Linked DNA regions of Drosophila melanogaster. The protein of the gene in region 1 interacts with the protein of each later gene in a pairwise test. Each region holds a gene or a part of one and is shown in the gene's direction. Other genes may lie near its edges. The genes, in order: Cpr76Ba, CG17163, CG3557 and scaf6.

Region 1 (3,202 bases):
CATCGTGACCGTAGCCGTAGTCGGCGTCGTAGATATCGCCGTGTCCGTAGCCCTTGTGGTAGACCTGGGGGTGGTGGGCGTGGCCGAGCTTCTTTACCACTGCGTTGAAGCCATTGTGGTCATCGGCGGTGTACTCCACCACTCGGGTGGTGCCATCCGATTCCTTGAGGGAGTAGCTGCCCTTGACCTTGTCGCCATCCCGCGTCTCCCACTGGCTCTTCTGGTCTCCGGTGTGGGCATCCTTGACGCCGTAGTCGAATTGGTACTTGGGATAGTGATGGGGCTCGTGCTTGTCGTATCCGTATCCGTAGCCCGAATGGCCGACACTCGGATAGCCGTGTCCGTAGATGCCACCGTAAGCGCTGACCACATCGTGATCGTATCCGTAGCCCAGGCTCTTGTGGACGGGTCCTTCGTGCTTGGTCACCGAACTGTAGCTGGTGGCGTGTCCACCATGGGGAGCTGCCCAACTGGCTCCCACCAGAAGGGCAAAGAACAGACCTCCGCTAAAGGATTTCATATCGGTCACTTATTCGCTGTTTTCCAATCGGAACTTTGATGATGTCTGCTGGTTCTTGGGGAGCTCACCTAGACTATATATAGCTATCGAAGACTCTGGGGCAATCAACCATCGGGTGGTCATTCTCTTGGCCACACCATTCACCAATCGAGCTAGCTGATTTGATAATTACCTCACTAACTCGTACTTATTATTATTGTTTCGGCCATTGAGCTCTATAGAAAATCGGCACATTTTATTTAAAGTCCAATCCGTTACAATTAAATTCTGCTAGTAATAATTAATAATATCAGATCCAAAAAGTTTTTGTTAGATCGTTCGATGTGTTTGGTATTCAGTCAAAGAGAAGGGAAAAACTAAGGCAAGAACTTATTGCTTAATTTACAAAAATTAATTATGACTGAGAATGTGAACTGATGAAGGCGGCAGCTTTTGCTTGAAGAAATAAGGAAATGCTGTTAAACTAACCAATAAATAAACTTTGTAGTGTTGTACTTTGAAATCCTTATGTAAATATCCAAAGCGAACCTATTTTGCTATAAATAATTATGTGTTTTTCCTAGAAATCTGTTGGCTTCAACATTATATTTATTATATAGTTATTAGTAGTTTTAAAACTTGAACTACAGGATTTCTTTTTATTTAATATGCATGTTATTCCTATAGATAGCGAAACAATTTATGCAAATAAACGTCTTAAAAATAATTAACATCAGATAACGTAGGCTAAATACCAATATGCTTATATTTTCACGCATTTCAAATTTCCGAGCTTAAAGTCTATTAGCCTTGTAAATTATATGCATTAAAAAACACTATCGGTAAGTTAACACCAATTCGGAAGCTCTGGGTGCCCCACAGCAGACCCCCTGGTCAGAAACACCAACCGATTGGACGGTCCGCCCAACGCTGCCCTCCCCTTCTCAGCCCCTTACCGCACCGTCCGTCTCAAGGTCATTTGGAGTGAAGTAGGCGAAAAAGAGGGTCCAACCGTGGAAACGCAGCGAGGCGAGGCGAGGCGGCTATTGCTGAGCAATTTGAAAGCGGGCCACACTTGTTGATTGATTTCTAAGCAACAAAATCGAAAAGCTTTGCGTTTTTCAAGCATTTGAGCGATGTTCACGCCCCGCTTAATGATGATGTTGTTGTTTCTGGCAAGTTTTAATTTGCCAATCGACCGACCGCCCAAGACTATGAATACGAATGGGGAAAAATGAAAATTTGCACAAAAATTCGAAGCATTTTTTATACCCATTTTTGGGGCTCTTACTTTTTTCTAGCCTATTTAGCCCGCAGTCTAAAATGTAATTAATCGATCCATAGAATGGCCAGAAGTATAAAAGCATTGGGCATTGTCTGGTGATTATAACAGTTCCAATCGTGATTTAGGCCAGGCAAGTCAATCAGAAACCAACGAAAATGGCCCACCAATTGAGCATCCTCTGCTGCGCACTTCTGGGAGTGGCTGCTGCTAGCTACATCCCTCATGGTGGATATAGTCACGAACACGGCGTGGGGTACAGCATCCAGACGCATCACGAGGCGCCCAAGCAGTGGCAGGATCACCACCAGGCTCACCACCAATGGGTGGATGTCCCAAAGGCCCATTCATGGGGCACAGTTCAGGATCATCACCACCAGCAGTGGGCTCCAGTCGCTGCGCACGATAGCCACCACCAGTGGAGCCACCACGAGGAACCCAAACACCATCCCAAATACGAATTCAATTACGGGGTGAAGGACACCAAGACCGGCGACATCAAGCAGCAGTGGGAGACCCGCGATGGCGACAAGGTCAAGGGAGGCTACACCATGAAGGAGGCCGACGGACGCACCAGGATCGTTGAGTACACCGCCGACTCCCACAACGGATTCCAGGCAACCGTGAAGCATGTGGGACACGCCAGTCACTTGGAGCACAGCCACTCATATGGCCAGCAATACGGACATGGGCATGGTCATGCCACCAGCTACGTGGATGTCAAACAGGACACCAGCAGCAAATGGGAGGACAAGAGCAACAAGTGGTGGTAGAGGAGCTGACCTAACTGACTGACTGCAAGCGATTCGGACCGACTTAATTATTGTAAATAGAACTACAAAATTGTTAACTTAAATAGTAGGTAAATATATCAAAGTGCAGAAAAAAGCTACAAATCAAACTACTTTACTATTTAAAGTTTTTACAATAGTTCTGAGATTTAAGACCACAACGAACACCGTTTATTAAATGAGAGAAACAACTTACCGATCCAATAATTCTAAGATACATTCGATACGGAGGATGTTGAGGCCTTAGTGTCTTGCAGCCTTTTTGTATTCTAGCTCACATAAGGAGGTTCGGAAGATCTTACGCACATCTTTTCTAAGGACTTTGAAGGCTTCGGCTTGTTCAGAAAAGTCCTTCCAAAAGTTATCATCAGAGTCCGGTAAAGATATGGTAAAGATGGTAAAGATATTCCTGATTTTCACAATTTTTTAATTCATCTACATCGCCGTCGCTGTCGTTACTTAAGTTCCCCTGCTTATTCGACTCGATCTCGATGCCCAGAGTCATTGACTTCGAAACGAATGCCATTGAAAGTTTTTTCGGACCTCCCATTTTTGATATTATTAATCTGCTGAGACAGAGAAACAACGCCTGAGAAATCCTATTTATTGCCTATTTTCCAATTGAGTTGA
Region 2 (3,920 bases), on another chromosome or scaffold:
TCCGTTTGCCGAATCCAGATCGATAAGGTACAATCGCACGCGTTTTCCGTGACTACCATCTTCCCGCTCGAAGGGCACCAGTCGATATTGCAGGGCTGCGTGTTGTTTGGAGCAACTAGGATGATCCACTGCCAGATCGACCACTTTTCGATCGCGTCCAACCAGAAAGCAACTCTGCCGATGAATATGGAGCGTGGGCAATGCTGTTTCGCCCTTGAACGGGTACAATCTCCAGCGCCGTTTGGGCTTGCGTGCCTCCGGGGGCTCAGAGTATTTAACCACCACACCGTTTAACTTATTAGTGTCCTCTGTTAACGCGCCACTTAGTCCGAAGTTGGGCTTTTCCTTGTCCACCGGCACGTCGTTCTCGGCTGGCACTTTTTCGTCGACTTCCTTTCCCCAGACGTAGTGATCATCCTCATTCTTGTTGCTGTTGTTGTGACGCTGATTTCGTTGGCGTCTCTGGTCAAGATCCCGCCCGCCGTGGCACCGATCTCGTGGACTTTGACTACGGCTGGGAATAAAGATAATAATAAGAAGAAATATACTAGCCATTCAGGGGTTGGACAAATATTTTTGCTAGACTGTCTTTAAATTTAACTAATTTAAAAAGTTTTTTTTTATATAACGCAAACCTTACTAATTAAAATAATTTAATAGTATTTTAGATGAAGTATAACTGAGCAGAATAAAAGTATAAATAGTAGCTAAGTTAAGCTAGTTATAGATTTAATAGGAATTATGGTAAAATCAGTTTATGTAATATATATATAGAAGAATATGGAATGAATTTTTACTTATTACAAGTTTTAGTACAGATGATTTACGAAAACCTACCGAACCGGGCGCCTTTCAGTAGGCCTCCGCTGGCGATCACGCTCCCTATTTTTGCGTTCGCTGCTCCTTGAACGATGCCGCAGAGCAGGCGAACGCTGCCAGCGCTCCTTGCTGGATTGCATGTTATAGTCCCGCTCTTTGTTTCGCTCACAATCCCTATCCCGTTCTCTCTCGCTACGCTCCCTTGAGCGACTCCGAGTGTTCCGGCGCTGCCTTGTACTGTTGCGATGGGAGTTGCTGCGTTCCGGACTGTCCCACTTAGAGCGCTGTTCATGTACGTCCTCCGACGGATGTGTTAACTGCTTGTGGCGTTTCTCCTGCGATTGAGAGGAGTCTCTTTGTCGCTTACCGGCTGTCCGCTGCTTTCTGTTAGGCGACAGGGAGCTGTGATTAGATTTTTTGCTTTCATTGGAGGAATCTGATGAACTAGAGGAATCGGCGGTCGCCCTTTGCTTAATCTTCTTCGTTTTGGATAAGTTGCGGTCGCTCATTTTAGTGTCCCCCTCGTGACCGGTGCGTTGCTGTTCCAGTTCATGCTCCTTGTTGCGTTGCTTGCTCATTTTACATATGATGCACGTCGAATTCCAGAAATCGATGGGAAAACAAACCAAAAATTAAAAAATGGGTCTTTTCTGATACGGTCAGCTGTTAAAACGAGAGTGACCAGAGGAAAAAAAATTAAGAGAAATTATCGTATTTCCTATCGAGTTTGCAGCCATATCGATTACTCTGAAAAAGTTTTTACAATTTAAAACACAAAGTCTTATAGAAATAAAGATTTTTGGGTGTTTCATATACAACTGCACCAATTTCGCCCAAGCAAGATTTCGTGGCTTTGCGTATCTCTCGCGTATTAATGTACATGTATATGTACTACTTAGGGATGAAGACGCTTAAAGCGCAGCCTGCCCGAATGAACAGGTTAAAAAACAGTACGAGTTTACCTAAAGGAGGACTGCATTAAAGGCACAGCCTACAGCTAGTTCAATTCAATTAATGCATTTTTTGCTCAAAACACATGTACATTTGCTTACACATGCATTGCGCGATAAGCTGTTTAAAAATTGTTTCTGTTAGCTGGTCGCACCTGGCCACACAGTCGAAAAGCCGTGCGAAAATCGAGAAATTCATAAAACCCGGAGGATATGCCAGTGGTTATTGCGGTGTAATCCTCCGGACCGCCATGCTGTTGTGCTGTGCGGATTGTAGCGGCATTTGTCAGTAGCAGCTGTTGCAGTTGCCTTACGCACAAAAGTGCGAAAAGGATAGTCACGATGACACCCTTTGATGACTTTGTCTATCTAATCAATCATGTGCTGCTGGGCGAGGAGCCGGTAAGTGGACTTCATGGGGCCAATACCATTTAGTACTCACAAGACATGCCTTTTCGGCCTTCTGTAGACCATCGAGGACTTCATACTGCTGGTAGGCACCCTGGTGGCATTTATAGCATTTATCCTTTGGTGCTGCTTCCCCATACAACCTAAGGTATGTATGTTCACTAGGCAATACGAAGTTCAAAACTTGTATTTGTACTTCTTCAGCAGGAGCGTGGCCCCCATCGCCAATTCACCTGCAAGATTATCCAGAATCCCATTAAGGCCTTTGACGCCTCCACCAGCACCGACGACGCACCCATTCCGGGAGGTGGCTCCGGAATTGGCAGCTCCATGTCCAACATGCAGTACAATGGTAGCGGAAGCTATAGCAAGAATGGTACTGTTGCCATGCACAATTACTACGTTAAGAACGGTCACCATTGCTGCACCTAATAATGGGCATTTCGACTAGCGGATTGAAAATGTCCTGAGCTGGACAGCGTGTTAGTTACCATTTAGTGAGCACAGCCATCTATATACGGAAGCATATTAATTAAGCTTTGTGCCAATGGGTTAGGAGGCAGCTTAAAGTTGCCATTTCGCATTTGCAGCATGTTTGGAATTTCTGAATTGTAATTGCTCAGACTGATTTGTTTATGGAACGTAGAAGGGTTGAGGAGAATAAGGAAGAAATGATGGGACAGGTGGCACGAGCATACTGTGCAGCCTCCAAGAAGCCCCTGGAAGTTTCAAAGACTTCCTTGATTTCTCTATATGTTGTATGCATTTGTTGGAATACCAGATGTAGTATGCGTACTGTGTAAAAAATATTGGGCGTACAAACCAATTAATTCTAAGTATTTTTATGTGTAAACGATTTGATTAGTCCCAGAGAAACTCCAAGACAACCCAATGCGTGCAAACAAAAACAAAGCCCTTTATTGAACTTATTTATATTTAGTGGTAATGGGGAAATAAAGTTTCTCCTTATATATTTACAAATGTACTTATATATCTTTAAGATAAATAGTGTACACGCCTAGATACACTCCAATTAATTAACTTTGGGTATCGTTCTACGAATTTTGCATACTGGATGTGTATTAAGGTGTATTTGATCTCATTCAATGATATTATTTGTGATGTAACAACTTCAAGGTAATTTCAATTATTCCCCTAAATGAAACTAAAAACCTAACGACAAACCGCCACCCAATTATCACTGTTTTATTTTTAAACTGGCTTCAAAGTCTAATGAATTGGCCCCTAGATAGTCTCGGGATCAGTTTGAAAGACAATTTAATAATAATATAATGATTCGGTAAGAATTGTCTTAAGGTATATTTATAAATTAATAATAATGGTATCAAGTATATTAGGCAGAGTTAACAAGTAGTTGCTAAAGCGCTAAGTATATACGCGGAATATCAACAGAACGTTTTTATGATGTTACGAATTTCTTCTGTCAGCGACAGGCCTGGGCAGAATGGGTGAATATCATGGACTCTTCCGGATAAGCGTGTAATATTTTCTTAACTGCTAGTATCTCGTTTTGTGCTTTGGTAACGGTTTAAACATTTGTTGGTTGTACTACGGGCCTTAAGATACACTCACGAAATAAATAGAAATAGCTGATGGAAGCCTCGTCTTCTAAATCTATAGACAGTCTTACGTATTAATTATATCGTAAAGTAGGGTTAGAAATACAGGATGTGTACTGCCTCTGATTCCTGGTTGAGTATTAAAATGATAATTACAAAGTAC
Region 3 (3,237 bases), on another chromosome or scaffold:
GCATTTTGTTTGCCATGTGCCTGAAGTTGTTAGGGCGTCTGTGCCCCAGCCCAAGTCACGAACTTCTGTGGTAACGCAGTGGGCTGCTGTGAAGGATTGAAGGCGGAGAAACGCTCGAGGAAGCCATAACGAATCAGTTTTTGATGTGGAACTTTGAAAAGTTCTATGGAAATTGTAAGAAAATTCAGAATGCATGGAAGGAGGCGATTCAATCGCAAGCAACTATATATTGCTTAATGCTAGGGAAACTGAATTAAAACTGAATTTAAGTCCTTTAAACAGAACCATGTAGGTGTCCTGCCACAGAGGAGCTATAGTTCAGACATATATTGCACATTCTCCGCACATTTGCCGCTTGGCAAAAGGTCCTGCAGCTTAGTCACCACACTGCCACACACATGGACACACACACCCACATGTACACATGATATTCATTATGAACGGCTTAAGCGATTTCCCCAGGGCCCAGGAGCTTAGTCCTTCACGCAGCAGACACACTCATGCATATGCACAGATATATTTGGGTTTTTATTTATTTCTTTTTATGAAAGCCCCGCTGAATGGAATCCGATTTGACGAGCAGTCGAAAAAAGGAACTCGTCAGCAAATTGGCAGCTCGAAAAAAGATGCGGTAAGCAGAAAAACCAATTCTCTACCTGATTGTTGGCCACATCAATCAGGATGTCATGTTCTACATGCTGGGGAAAAACATGAACATAATAATTAACGCTCATAATTCGACTCTCCCCAAAAGTGGACAACAATTCGCTTCTTTTGCTAATGAAAATAATCTGTCATCAAAGCCAAAAAGCCACCCCCTATGGTAACAGGTGCTCGTGCTTCCCGCTCTCCTGTTTTGCCTCATCCTGTTGCTTTTTCCAGGACACGCCTCCTGGTACACTATATGATTATATTTGGTTCCCAGCTATTAACTCTGCATAGCTTGTGGGCAGGAAGGGTTGAAAGGTTGGCGGACGGAAATTGCATTTGTGCTGGCCCAAATCAGATAAGATTCACCGGCGACGCCCTCGTCCTTGGCCAGGATATGACATTAAAAGCGCATCAAAGTCGAATGGCGAGCAGAGGCTACGCATCAGCAGCGGAAACTGTTGCCGTAATTACATTCGAGTCGGATAGAAAAAATTCCAAAGACGTATGTTCGGCAATGCGAACGCCTGATACCCTTTTCAGTGAGGAATTTTTGAGGAATCTTATCATTAGTAATCTTGATCTTAATTAATCTTCATCAAGGTATCTAAGTCACGAAATGAAAATGTTAACTTAAAACTCTAAGGTTTGTAGATAGGTTTTCGTATAGTTAAACCTCCTTTCGATGTCCTTTCCTTTGACAATAAGAAGCACATTGCTGGTCATTTGCGCGGTCCTTTAACCCTGGTCGCTTGTGAGCTTAGCTTCCCCCGGAGGCTGAACTTTGATTTGGTCTTTGTTTGCGCCGTTAAATTAAATGTCCTTGCCCAGCCGTTCGGGATCTGTGCTCATCCTGGATGCCCAGGGACAATGCAAGCAATTCCAGTCATTTCCTTAATAGAAATCTTATCTTTTGTGACGCCTTCGCCGTGTGCCTAAGCCGGATATCGCACCTTTGACATCTGCCCATGGCTCCTGACAAAGCAGGTCCATGCTAAGCACTCAAATATCTCTTACTTCCGGTCCGGCTTTTTGGGAGAATATCATTTGGAAAAATTGGGTGTTTATTTATACCAACACTAGCAGACGAAACCATGAAATCCTGTTGTGCCACTCAGACGACGCGTTGTGAGTGTCCAACGGGTCTCAGATTGGGGAAGAAGCCGCAGGCTCCACTCTTCGACATGCTGGGCCCGCATCCAGATGAGGTCATCATGACGATCCTGGACCGCATCCTCTATCTTTCGGGCGCCACGAAAATAATTCCATTGCTGGAGTTGTCGAATGAAGGTCAGTAATCGAAGGAAGTAATATAAATGCGTCCATAGATAAAATATACCCGTAGGATCAGCTTTTAAGAAGGAATCCTGCCCACCACCAGCACCCTGTGCACCAAGCCCTTGCAGTTCCGGAAGCAGCTCGGCTTATCCATCTTCATCGGCCTGGAGTACATGCTGCTCCAAGCCGTCGACTATCTGTTGTTATCCCAAGCCAACGAGATGCTGCGCCAGTCCAAAAGCTCCACTAGTGCCCTGCAGTCCAATGGATACTCCGAAATCTTCCTGCTTCAAGACCGCGAGTCGGCTTAGTTCCGCTGCCTGTTGTCCCCGCCAGCGTACTCCCAGGGTGGACTTCGATCACCCGGCGGAGGATATTCCGTTGAGAAATAAGGCGGGCAGCGCCACGATAAGGGAACAGATAAGCCGATCAATTTCCACCTGCTCGGTGGCCTGTCAACAGCTGAAAGACAAGCTTACATCCCAGATTGCCCAAGGACACAAGGACCAAAAGTGGTTGTGGACCCGTTTGATTCGTGGCAACGATGGGTGCATGGTGTACGAGGTGTACAAGGATTCCGATGTAGACAACTCTCCCTCTAAGATCGGGTCGGAGGCACCCATCATCCTTTTTCTAGTCATGCCGAATGGTTGCATCATGCCCTTTGAGTCTATTTGTGGTCCTTAGGAAGATGGTACTCGTTTTGTATACTTTTTAGCCTGTGGTCAGTTAAAAATAAACTTTCACCCGTACTTTGTATTTTGCTATTTAATTTATACAACAAATACTAAGCTACACGTATGCCTTTTTTTAGCATAAGGAAGACCACTCCAGCACAAACAAACATATAGATGGACAGTATAACAACAGACTCCAGATCACTTCGATGACCCGGGTTCAGGGACATGTTGACCATTCCCGTAAGGAAATTGGAGATCATGAAGTGAGTCAGACCGTTCATGTTCAGACTTTCAACAAAGGTGGGCAAGGATATGTTCTTTTGCCCGTCATCTCTAATTGACTTTTTAGAACAAATATCTGGCCGTACGAGTTTCAGCTCAAAGAAGAACGCGTAGATCACAATTAGGCTTAGGGAGACAGCGAAAATCCAGATTACATAGCCAAAACTAAAAGTTACACGTGCTATGCCCGTTAGAAAAGAACTTATAAAAACCAATTTCCAACAGAGAATGGCCACGAAAAGAATACTCTTTAACTTTCTTATTAGTCCTTGATAAGTCAGGCTATCACGGGAAGTATACCACTTGGCAAAGTAAATGCTGAGCAAATAGAGAGCCACACATCCGTGTA
Region 4 (7,634 bases), 2.5 Mb from region 1:
TTGTCTTTAGAAATACACAGAATAGTACTTACTGTAAGGTAAAGGGCTTGCTGAAAAGCACAAAGGAGAAGGCTATAGTCACAGCCTTGCGGGCGGTGGTCACTGTGGCAGCTATGGGGGCACCACTACTCCTCACCAGAGCCAGCACAAACTGAATGCCCAGATAGCCGGACAAACTAAAGAGGAAGCCATAGCCGAAGGTCTCAACGGGATGCTAAATGGATAATACACTTTAGATCTCTTACATCATAAACCTCAAATGTTACCCACCTCCAAACAGAATGCAAAGCCGCTGAAGAAGTTGCCGGTAACCAGCATAATCACAAATAGGTACACAAAACCCAAGCCGTATGAGTAGAACACCACCTCACTGCTGGGCGCCTTGAATTCCCGCATCGCCTTCTCCTGGACATTGCCAATGGCTGCGTCGCAGAGCAGCGCTCCCGAAATCATGGCCACACCAAGCAGATTGAAATTGGGCGTCATCTGGGAGTCGGCCAGCGTGAACCAGGCCAATCCGATGCACATGCAGGTGGCTGCCGCAAAGTCCAGCAGTCCGTAGCGTTTGCCCTGTATGAGGATGCTGCCCACCAGCACGGGAATGAGCTTGCAGCACTTGAAAATCACCTGGGTGGGATAGTTCAGGTAGCCGAGACTTGAGTTGGACAGACCCATGGTACCCAGCGTGAGAGCAGCCAGAATTAGGTATGTTCTCATGGGAATGCAACGTGGCTCCGGCTCAATGTTCCAAAAGGAACCGCCGCTTATCCGATAGCCCTCCAGCCGCCGCTCCACCAAACCGAAGCCGATGTAGTAGCCAAACTGGACGAGCGTGAGGAACCATCCGTAGGGTTTGAATCCTTCGACGGTGAAGATCAGCTCCTGCAGATAGCCGTACAGGATGTACAGGAAGAAGACGCCGGCGCAGCTGAGCAGGAACTGAGTTGTGCGATTGTAGTAGGTGAGGTCAAAGCAAAGGATACGGAGTTCCGGCGGAGATTCCGACGTCGAGGACTTCCGCTGCGAGGGCGGCGAGTTTCCCGCCGATTCGCCGCCATTAATGGTGATAACGCTCCCCTTATTATCGGTCATTCTGCTGCTAGCGGATGTGTCTATATACATATACACACTATATAGTGGCTATTTCAAGATTATATTTCCAGGGAGCCCGTGTAATTCAATGCCACGCTGTCCGCGGAGTTGTCGGTTTAAAGTGCGGATTTGTCATGCCTCCTCGGATGCTGCATTAATCACGGGCCGGCGTGGAGATTTCTGTTGGGTGCAAATTGCCCTGGCTAAATGTTTGTTTACCACAAATAAACTATTTTTGTCAGCTTAGAACTGAGATAGACGCGCGGCGTTGCCACGTTGTGGTAATAATAGAAGAGAGACCGGTATAACGTGGAACAAGTTGGCAGCTCTGCTACCACCGTCATTCTAATTGGAACTTCTGCTACTGGCAATAAATACATTTAACAAATGAGCAGCGATAAAGGTTTAAGCCGCTTTTTTGCTCAAAAAAGCGTATGATAAGCGCTAAAAACTACTTAAAAAGTAGTGCCGAGAGTAACTCCTAGTATTTGACTACATGTCGTTCTAAGAATACAAAGATATGGGCACACTGTCGGAAAAAACAAGAAGAAGCAGTGAAAAGTGCCGCTGAAAAAGTGCAAAAAGTTATGAATTTAGTATTTTACATAGGATAATAGTGCTAATAACAGTCGCAAAATGGACGTGCAACCGCCACGCGGTAAGTGCAGCAATTAAAAAGTGCTGAATATAACTTAAAATCAAGCTAATTTTGTGCCCAAGTCGATTGGCATGCACATGTGTACACATACAAACAAACAAGCGCACGCACAACCTTTGATATGCTCACATTTTTTGCAAAAACCATTTGCTTTCTATTTGCAGATGCCAGTTTACGAAATATTATCGACAAACTGGCGGAGTTTGTGGCCAGAAATGGGCCGGAATTCGAGGCGATAACCAAGCAGAAGCAGCAGAACAATCCAAAGTTCGAGTTCCTCTACGGCGGGGAGTTCGCCAACTATTATCAATTCAGGGTGGCAGCGGAACAAGCTCGTGAGTGCGTTCTAAATTGGTGGAAAATAACCCCTATAATCTCCTTTTAACACCCAATACAGTGCTAAAGCAACAGGCCATTAACCAACAACTGCCACCAGGTGCTCCATCCGGCCACTACATGCAACATCCGCCGCCAATGCAGCAATCCCAACCACCGGGCCTCTATCCGCCACCCAATCAGCAGCCACCGCACCCGCCCGAAACCGCACAAGACAATATGCAACAGCAAACACAGCACTCCTGGCCGCCGAACTCCGGCAACGGTGGGCCGCCAAACAATCAGCAGGCCAATGGCAATCCCATGGCCATGAATCTAACGTCACAACTGGAAGCCATCAAGATGCAGCAGAAGTCGCTGCGGGAACAGATCCAGCAATCCGAAGCGAATCTCTCCGCACAGCACACGGTAATTTGAAGTTGGAAATAACTGGGATACCTCTATATGCCCACCTTTGCAAGCCTTTTTCCGAAAGATTAGAGCAGCTCGAGTGTATAAAGAAAAGATTTCAATATGATTTCATGTTGAATGTTGGCCTCCTCTGGCAAAAATTTAAAGAAGCAAATTGGTTTCCTTTTTAAACTAAATACCCACCTAAAAGTTGCTTTTATAGTCTGAATATAAGAACGTGTTTGCTTCTTCGAATTTTTGACCTCCCTTTTAAACGACCCAATCGAATGTGAATATACCTCGATTTTAAGCCAGAATGCTTTTAATTATTTTCTTAAGAGAGAAGATAACTTGTATAACCCTTATATACTTTCGGACTTAAATGATTTCCAAAGATATTGTCATAGACTCATAGATGGCAGTTTTGTATTCCCTAGTTTTTGTAATAACAACTCTGGAACAAGAGTTCATCAAATGGTGTTTAATATTAATAATTATGAACTGCTTTTGTGGACTTTTCACTCTATAAGTACTGTGAACTAAATTCTTTCTAATAAGAAGGACATTTCTTATTGCTTGTCGCTATTGAATTTCCCTGTAATGGAAGTGACTTCCCTCTTGAAATTGTTTCTTATGAAACTAATCCACGAATTCCTCAGAATAATCAATCCTGCTCTCGACCCTTTTCCAAATGTTTTTTCAATCGATCTACTCAGTTCTTGTTCTCCAAGTGCGGATAAGATAAAGTTAAAGTGTACTTTCAGCAATATCAAACTACAATCTATATTTGTCATTATTTTTACTATTTAATTAACAATTTACAATGCTACATTAAATTTTTGCTTTATTGTATTTTTTGAAACATAAACCAAAAAAAAAAAAACCAAATCAAACCACTCTTCATACCAACTGACAAAACTGTATAAAAACAAAAAAAAAACAAATCCTAAAATCAAATTTGTTTTGAAACGCTTGTCAAATGAATCCCAAAATGCGAATATGCATGCGAACAAACCTTTGTGTGCCTAATGACCAAACCGAACCGATCCGAACCACACCAACGCTTGCGATCCTAATCGCACCAATCAACCAAACGAAACCAACCTGTAGGCCCTGATGAATCAGAAGACCAAGCAGATCGAGGATGCAATTGCGGCGGCGCAGACGGCGCAGCAGGAACAGATGGCTGGCGAACAGGGCATTGTGCTGAGGGACTTCGATGGCGTTCTGCAGCCGATCATCGAGTCCTGCACGAAGGACAGCATCTCTGCAGGTAAATACGAGTTCAGCGGACAGGCTGGATTACATTATTGCTTGTTTGTAGTCTCGTAATCAGTCATAAGTTAGCTAATGGAGCTGAATTTTTGATGCTCCGCAGCTTTGCTGCACACAAAGCGCACACTAAATGAATCCATACTACTTTTTGATTAATCCTAAACCTAATTTATAATCGCCATGGACAATGACAATATGAGTAACCCGTTTGATATTGCAATTTTAGGCAAGAACTGGATTTTACAGCATTCAACCGACAGCGCAAAAATCAATGTCGTTTTACAATATCTTTTAAAGAAGTATGCCTCAGTTTTATACCTAATGACCTGCAATATGTATTAATTAAATTGTGTTTCTTTCTTTCAACGAGTGAAATACTAACCAAACATAGAAAAACGAAATACGAAATATCGAACAAACAAGTGAGAGATGATCGATTGAGCGATTGTGCGATTGAGACTTCCACAGAGAGGCTCGAGATTGATTCGTTGATTCGTTTTCGAGAGATGTTATGATCATATATGAGTAGTCCCCAGATCCGGAAGTCTTTTAGCTAGGGCCACACACCCAAACAAATCATTTTACTTAATAAGCTTAACCATAAACACGCACAACAACACACCAACACTTAACAGTGATAATCATCGGACAAAAAAAAAAAACCAAAAAAAAAAACACAAATACCAAAAAGAAAGAAGATTTACTAACAAAAATCATTATACTTGCACAACAAGTACTTTTGGCAATGTTGTTGTGCATACAGAGAACTAGAAAAATATGTTTTTCGTTTGTTAATTTATTTTTAGGGCTTTGGTCAATGGTTCAACGTTTCAGCAAAAATTGCATCTTATATATTTAGTTAATGATATACTCCATCACTGGTAAGTTCGCCCAGTCAATTATTAGTATAGTATAGTATTTAAGGGCCATAGACCTCAATAACTAACCCACTGAGCAGTAAGACTACTTTGTGGGTTAGTTTCTGCGGACGACTACGCTGACAGAATTGGACTGAACCTGACCGACCACCGGACTTCGGACATCATACCTTGACATTTAGAGTAGCTAGGAGATGAGACCTAAGTCCAACGATATATTTACAGCATGCGCAAGAACATCAATGACTTGAAGAACAGCCTCGAGAACGTCGTCATTCCGATGTTCTGCAGCGCCGACTTGAGTATGTATTTCCACTTCGATCCATTCCTTTACGGATTTCTAATAGTGTTATCCTCGCCCACAGTTGGCAACCCCGACCAGCGCCAGAAGCTAGCCAAGCTGCTGTCTCTGTGGGAGTCCAAGGCGAAGTTCTTCGATGCCTGCGTCATCTCGAAGCTTCAGTCACCGGACTCGTCAATGCAGGAGTACAAAACCAATCTGCAGAACACACATCATGATATAACTGCTAAATTCACGCAGAATACCAAGGCGACTTTGGATAAGTAAGTATAAAAGTCCAAGAACATAATAGAGCACATAATAAACCATAACTCTTATGCTTCAGCTATCAGAAACAGCATCATGTATTTATCCAACATGCTAGCCAGCAAATTGTGCAGCTGGAGAAACAGGCGCAGCACCTGGAGCAGCAGATTGTGGCCCAGAAGTCCCAGCAGCAACACATGCTTCAGCATCAGCAGAAGAACATACCATCGCTGATGTCCCACCGAATAGCAATGCCGGGTGACCATGAGCACATGAATAGCCAGGGGCCGCATGATCAGCAGCATCCGCAGGCGGGAAATAATATGTATCCAGGTGGTAACTTCCAACAGCAGCAGCCACCACCGGGGAATCACTTTGCGGATCCACGCGGACCGAACTTCTTCATTCCGGACATGTCCAAACCACCACCAGGCTTCCCCGGACCCATGCATCATAATCAGGGCCCAGCAATGGGCCAGCAGCAGCCACAACCGGGACAGTTTCCGCCCATGCAGGCGCCGGGTTCTGGCAATGAACCACCTGTTGATCTTGGCGTTCTCAGTGCAGCGATTCAGGCGTGCTTACAGATGCAGCAGCAACACCATCCTGACGACCCTCAGCAACAAGGACAGCACCAACTGCAGCAGCAGCAGCAGCAACAACCGCAGCAGCAAAAGCAGCCGCCGCCAATGGCTGCCTATCCCCAGAATATTGTTAGACCTGGCCAGCAAAATGCTGATAGCAGCGAAGTGGATCTGGATGTGCTCAATGCAGCCATTCGCGCGGTTATAACCAACAAACCCGAAGACGGAACATTGGAAGATGGCCAGCAACCACAGAAATTGGTCGACGGAGAATCTGGAGAACCTGTTGTGATCGGAGAGCCACAAATACCCACAGCGCCTTACTACGACCTGCCAGCGGGCCTCATGGTGCCGCTCATTCGTCTGGAGGATTACAACTACAAAGCCCTCGATCCGGCGGACATTCGACTGCCAGCTCCAGCGCCACAAAGCGAGCGATTAACAAATGCATTGAACGCCTTCTATTCCGCACCCTCACACGATCGTCCAAGGGATAAGTAAGTATTTCAATTTGATGTTATTGAGCGTTCCTTATAAATGGGCTTATCTTGCAGTGAGGGTTGGGAGAAGCTTGGTCTCTATGAGTACTATAAGGTGAAGAATGCGGCGCGAAAGCAAAAAGAAGAGGAAATCAAGGACGGCATTCGAGAAAAGTCGCGGTCGCCAAGTCCGATTGTGCTCGAGAAACCCCTACCCAAAAAGAGCAACAAGCGAGTTTATCGGTGAGTGTTGGTTTTCCATCAAAAATTTTCACACAAAAACTAGAAATATTTGCACTTATTTTCTTGCGCAGATCCAAGAGTCGCAGTCGCTCCCGCTCAAAAACGCCGCCCCATCGAGATAGATCGTTGTCTCGCTCCCGATCCCGCTCGCGATCCATGGAGCGCTCTTTAACGCCGCCACCGATGAATCGGAGCAGGTTGGGCGGTGGTAACAACCGCAAGGGTCGCAATCGATCTCCTCGCCACGAACGGGACAACAACAGCGGCAGCACAAATACCAGAGAGGGCCGTGGTGATCGTGGCAATTCCAATAGCCGAGACAATGGCAACAGCACCAACCTAAGACGAGTGGACCGCGACAGATCTCTAACACCTCCGAGCTTTCTGTAAATCATGGCTATAGTACAATTTCATGACAGTCGGACCAATGAGCTATCTTTGTTTTTCCAGGGGAAGCACATTTGCCAAGCCAGCGGATTTCATCGAGGAATCGAACAAGGGCCACCAAATGCTCATGAAAATGGGTTGGGCGGGCACGGGAACTGGACTGGGCTCAAAGAATCAAGGCATCGACACGCCCATTTCGGGAGGCGAGGTGCGCGATCGTCGAGAGATGTACAAGGTGAAGTGGCAAGAGTGCGCAAGAAAGGACAACTTATAATTTTCTATCCACAGGGAGTGGGCGCTAATATGCACGATCCCTTCGAGAGCTTTCGGAAGAACAAAGGAGCTGCCTTCGCGCACCGGATGCGATCGCGAGACGACAAGAGTTAGGATCTGCCAACGGTCATAACTTCCCAGTTTTTTGTTTCCTTTAGCCCAGAAAATATACATTTTTATAAAAGCGAACTGAATTTTTATACAAGATTAGGCTATAACATTAAAGCTGGATTGAGCGGCCTTGGCATTTACTTTTTCCAGGACCTGGACCAGGCCCTTGCCAGGACCGCATTCGAAGGTGCGTGGAAAGTCGACGCCCTGCTTGCGCTCGTACATCTCGTGGAGAGTCTGCTCCCACTTGACGGGCCTCACGATTTGCTTGGGCAGCTGCGTTAGGATGTGCTTGGCATGGCGATAGGGTTTGCCATCCACATTGGAGTACACTCTAATGACGGGGTCCTGAAGTCGCACCGTTTTCAGGGCTTTGGTAAA

The links.
Region 2: the proteins of Cpr76Ba (region 1) and CG17163 interact in a two-hybrid assay, tested with the Drosophila melanogaster proteins (one large-scale study listed by BioGRID).
Region 3: the proteins of Cpr76Ba (region 1) and CG3557 interact in a two-hybrid assay, tested with the Drosophila melanogaster proteins (one large-scale study listed by BioGRID).
Region 4: the proteins of Cpr76Ba (region 1) and scaf6 interact in a two-hybrid assay, tested with the Drosophila melanogaster proteins (one large-scale study listed by BioGRID).

The regions. Positions count from the first base shown.
Region 1 is NT_037436.4:19,517,013-19,520,214, reverse strand, and holds Cpr76Ba (cuticular protein 76Ba), read left to right. Parts: upstream 1-1,882; 5' UTR 1,883-1,939; coding exon 1,940-2,554; 3' UTR 2,555-2,663; downstream 2,664-3,202. Other genes in the region: Cpr76Bb (cuticular protein 76Bb), read right to left, coding at 1-520.
Region 2 is NC_004354.4:23,080,321-23,084,240, reverse strand, and holds CG17163 (uncharacterized protein), read left to right. Parts: upstream 1-1,531; 5' UTR 1,532-2,111; coding exon 2,112-2,171; intron 2,172-2,238; coding exon 2,239-2,325; intron 2,326-2,381; coding exon 2,382-2,609; 3' UTR 2,610-3,370; downstream 3,371-3,920. Other genes in the region: CG17168 (uncharacterized protein), read right to left, coding at 1-514, 838-1,397.
Region 3 is NT_033779.5:2,384,208-2,387,444, reverse strand, and holds CG3557 (uncharacterized protein), read left to right. Parts: upstream 1-1,652; 5' UTR 1,653-1,742; coding exon 1,743-1,938; intron 1,939-1,993; coding exon 1,994-2,613; 3' UTR 2,614-2,684; downstream 2,685-3,237. Other genes in the region: PIG-Wa (phosphatidylinositol glycan anchor biosynthesis class W a), read right to left, coding at 2,714-3,237.
Region 4 is NT_037436.4:17,036,554-17,044,187, reverse strand, and holds scaf6 (SR-related CTD associated factor 6), read left to right. Parts: upstream 1-1,613; 5' UTR 1,614-1,728; coding exon 1,729-1,750; intron 1,751-1,914; coding exon 1,915-2,085; intron 2,086-2,147; coding exon 2,148-2,494; coding exon of another isoform or gene 2,495-2,503; exon of another isoform or gene 2,504-3,254; intron 3,255-3,586; coding exon 3,587-3,749; intron 3,750-3,977; coding exon 3,978-4,050; intron 4,051-4,557; coding exon 4,558-4,632; intron 4,633-4,854; coding exon 4,855-4,931; intron 4,932-4,994; coding exon 4,995-5,193; intron 5,194-5,255; coding exon 5,256-6,257; intron 6,258-6,314; coding exon 6,315-6,482; intron 6,483-6,553; coding exon 6,554-6,868; intron 6,869-6,932; coding exon 6,933-7,104; intron 7,105-7,157; coding exon 7,158-7,256; 3' UTR 7,257-7,329; downstream 7,330-7,634. Other genes in the region: Papst2 (PAPS transporter 2), read right to left, coding at 33-214, 271-1,122; beg (bad egg), read right to left, coding at 7,350-7,634.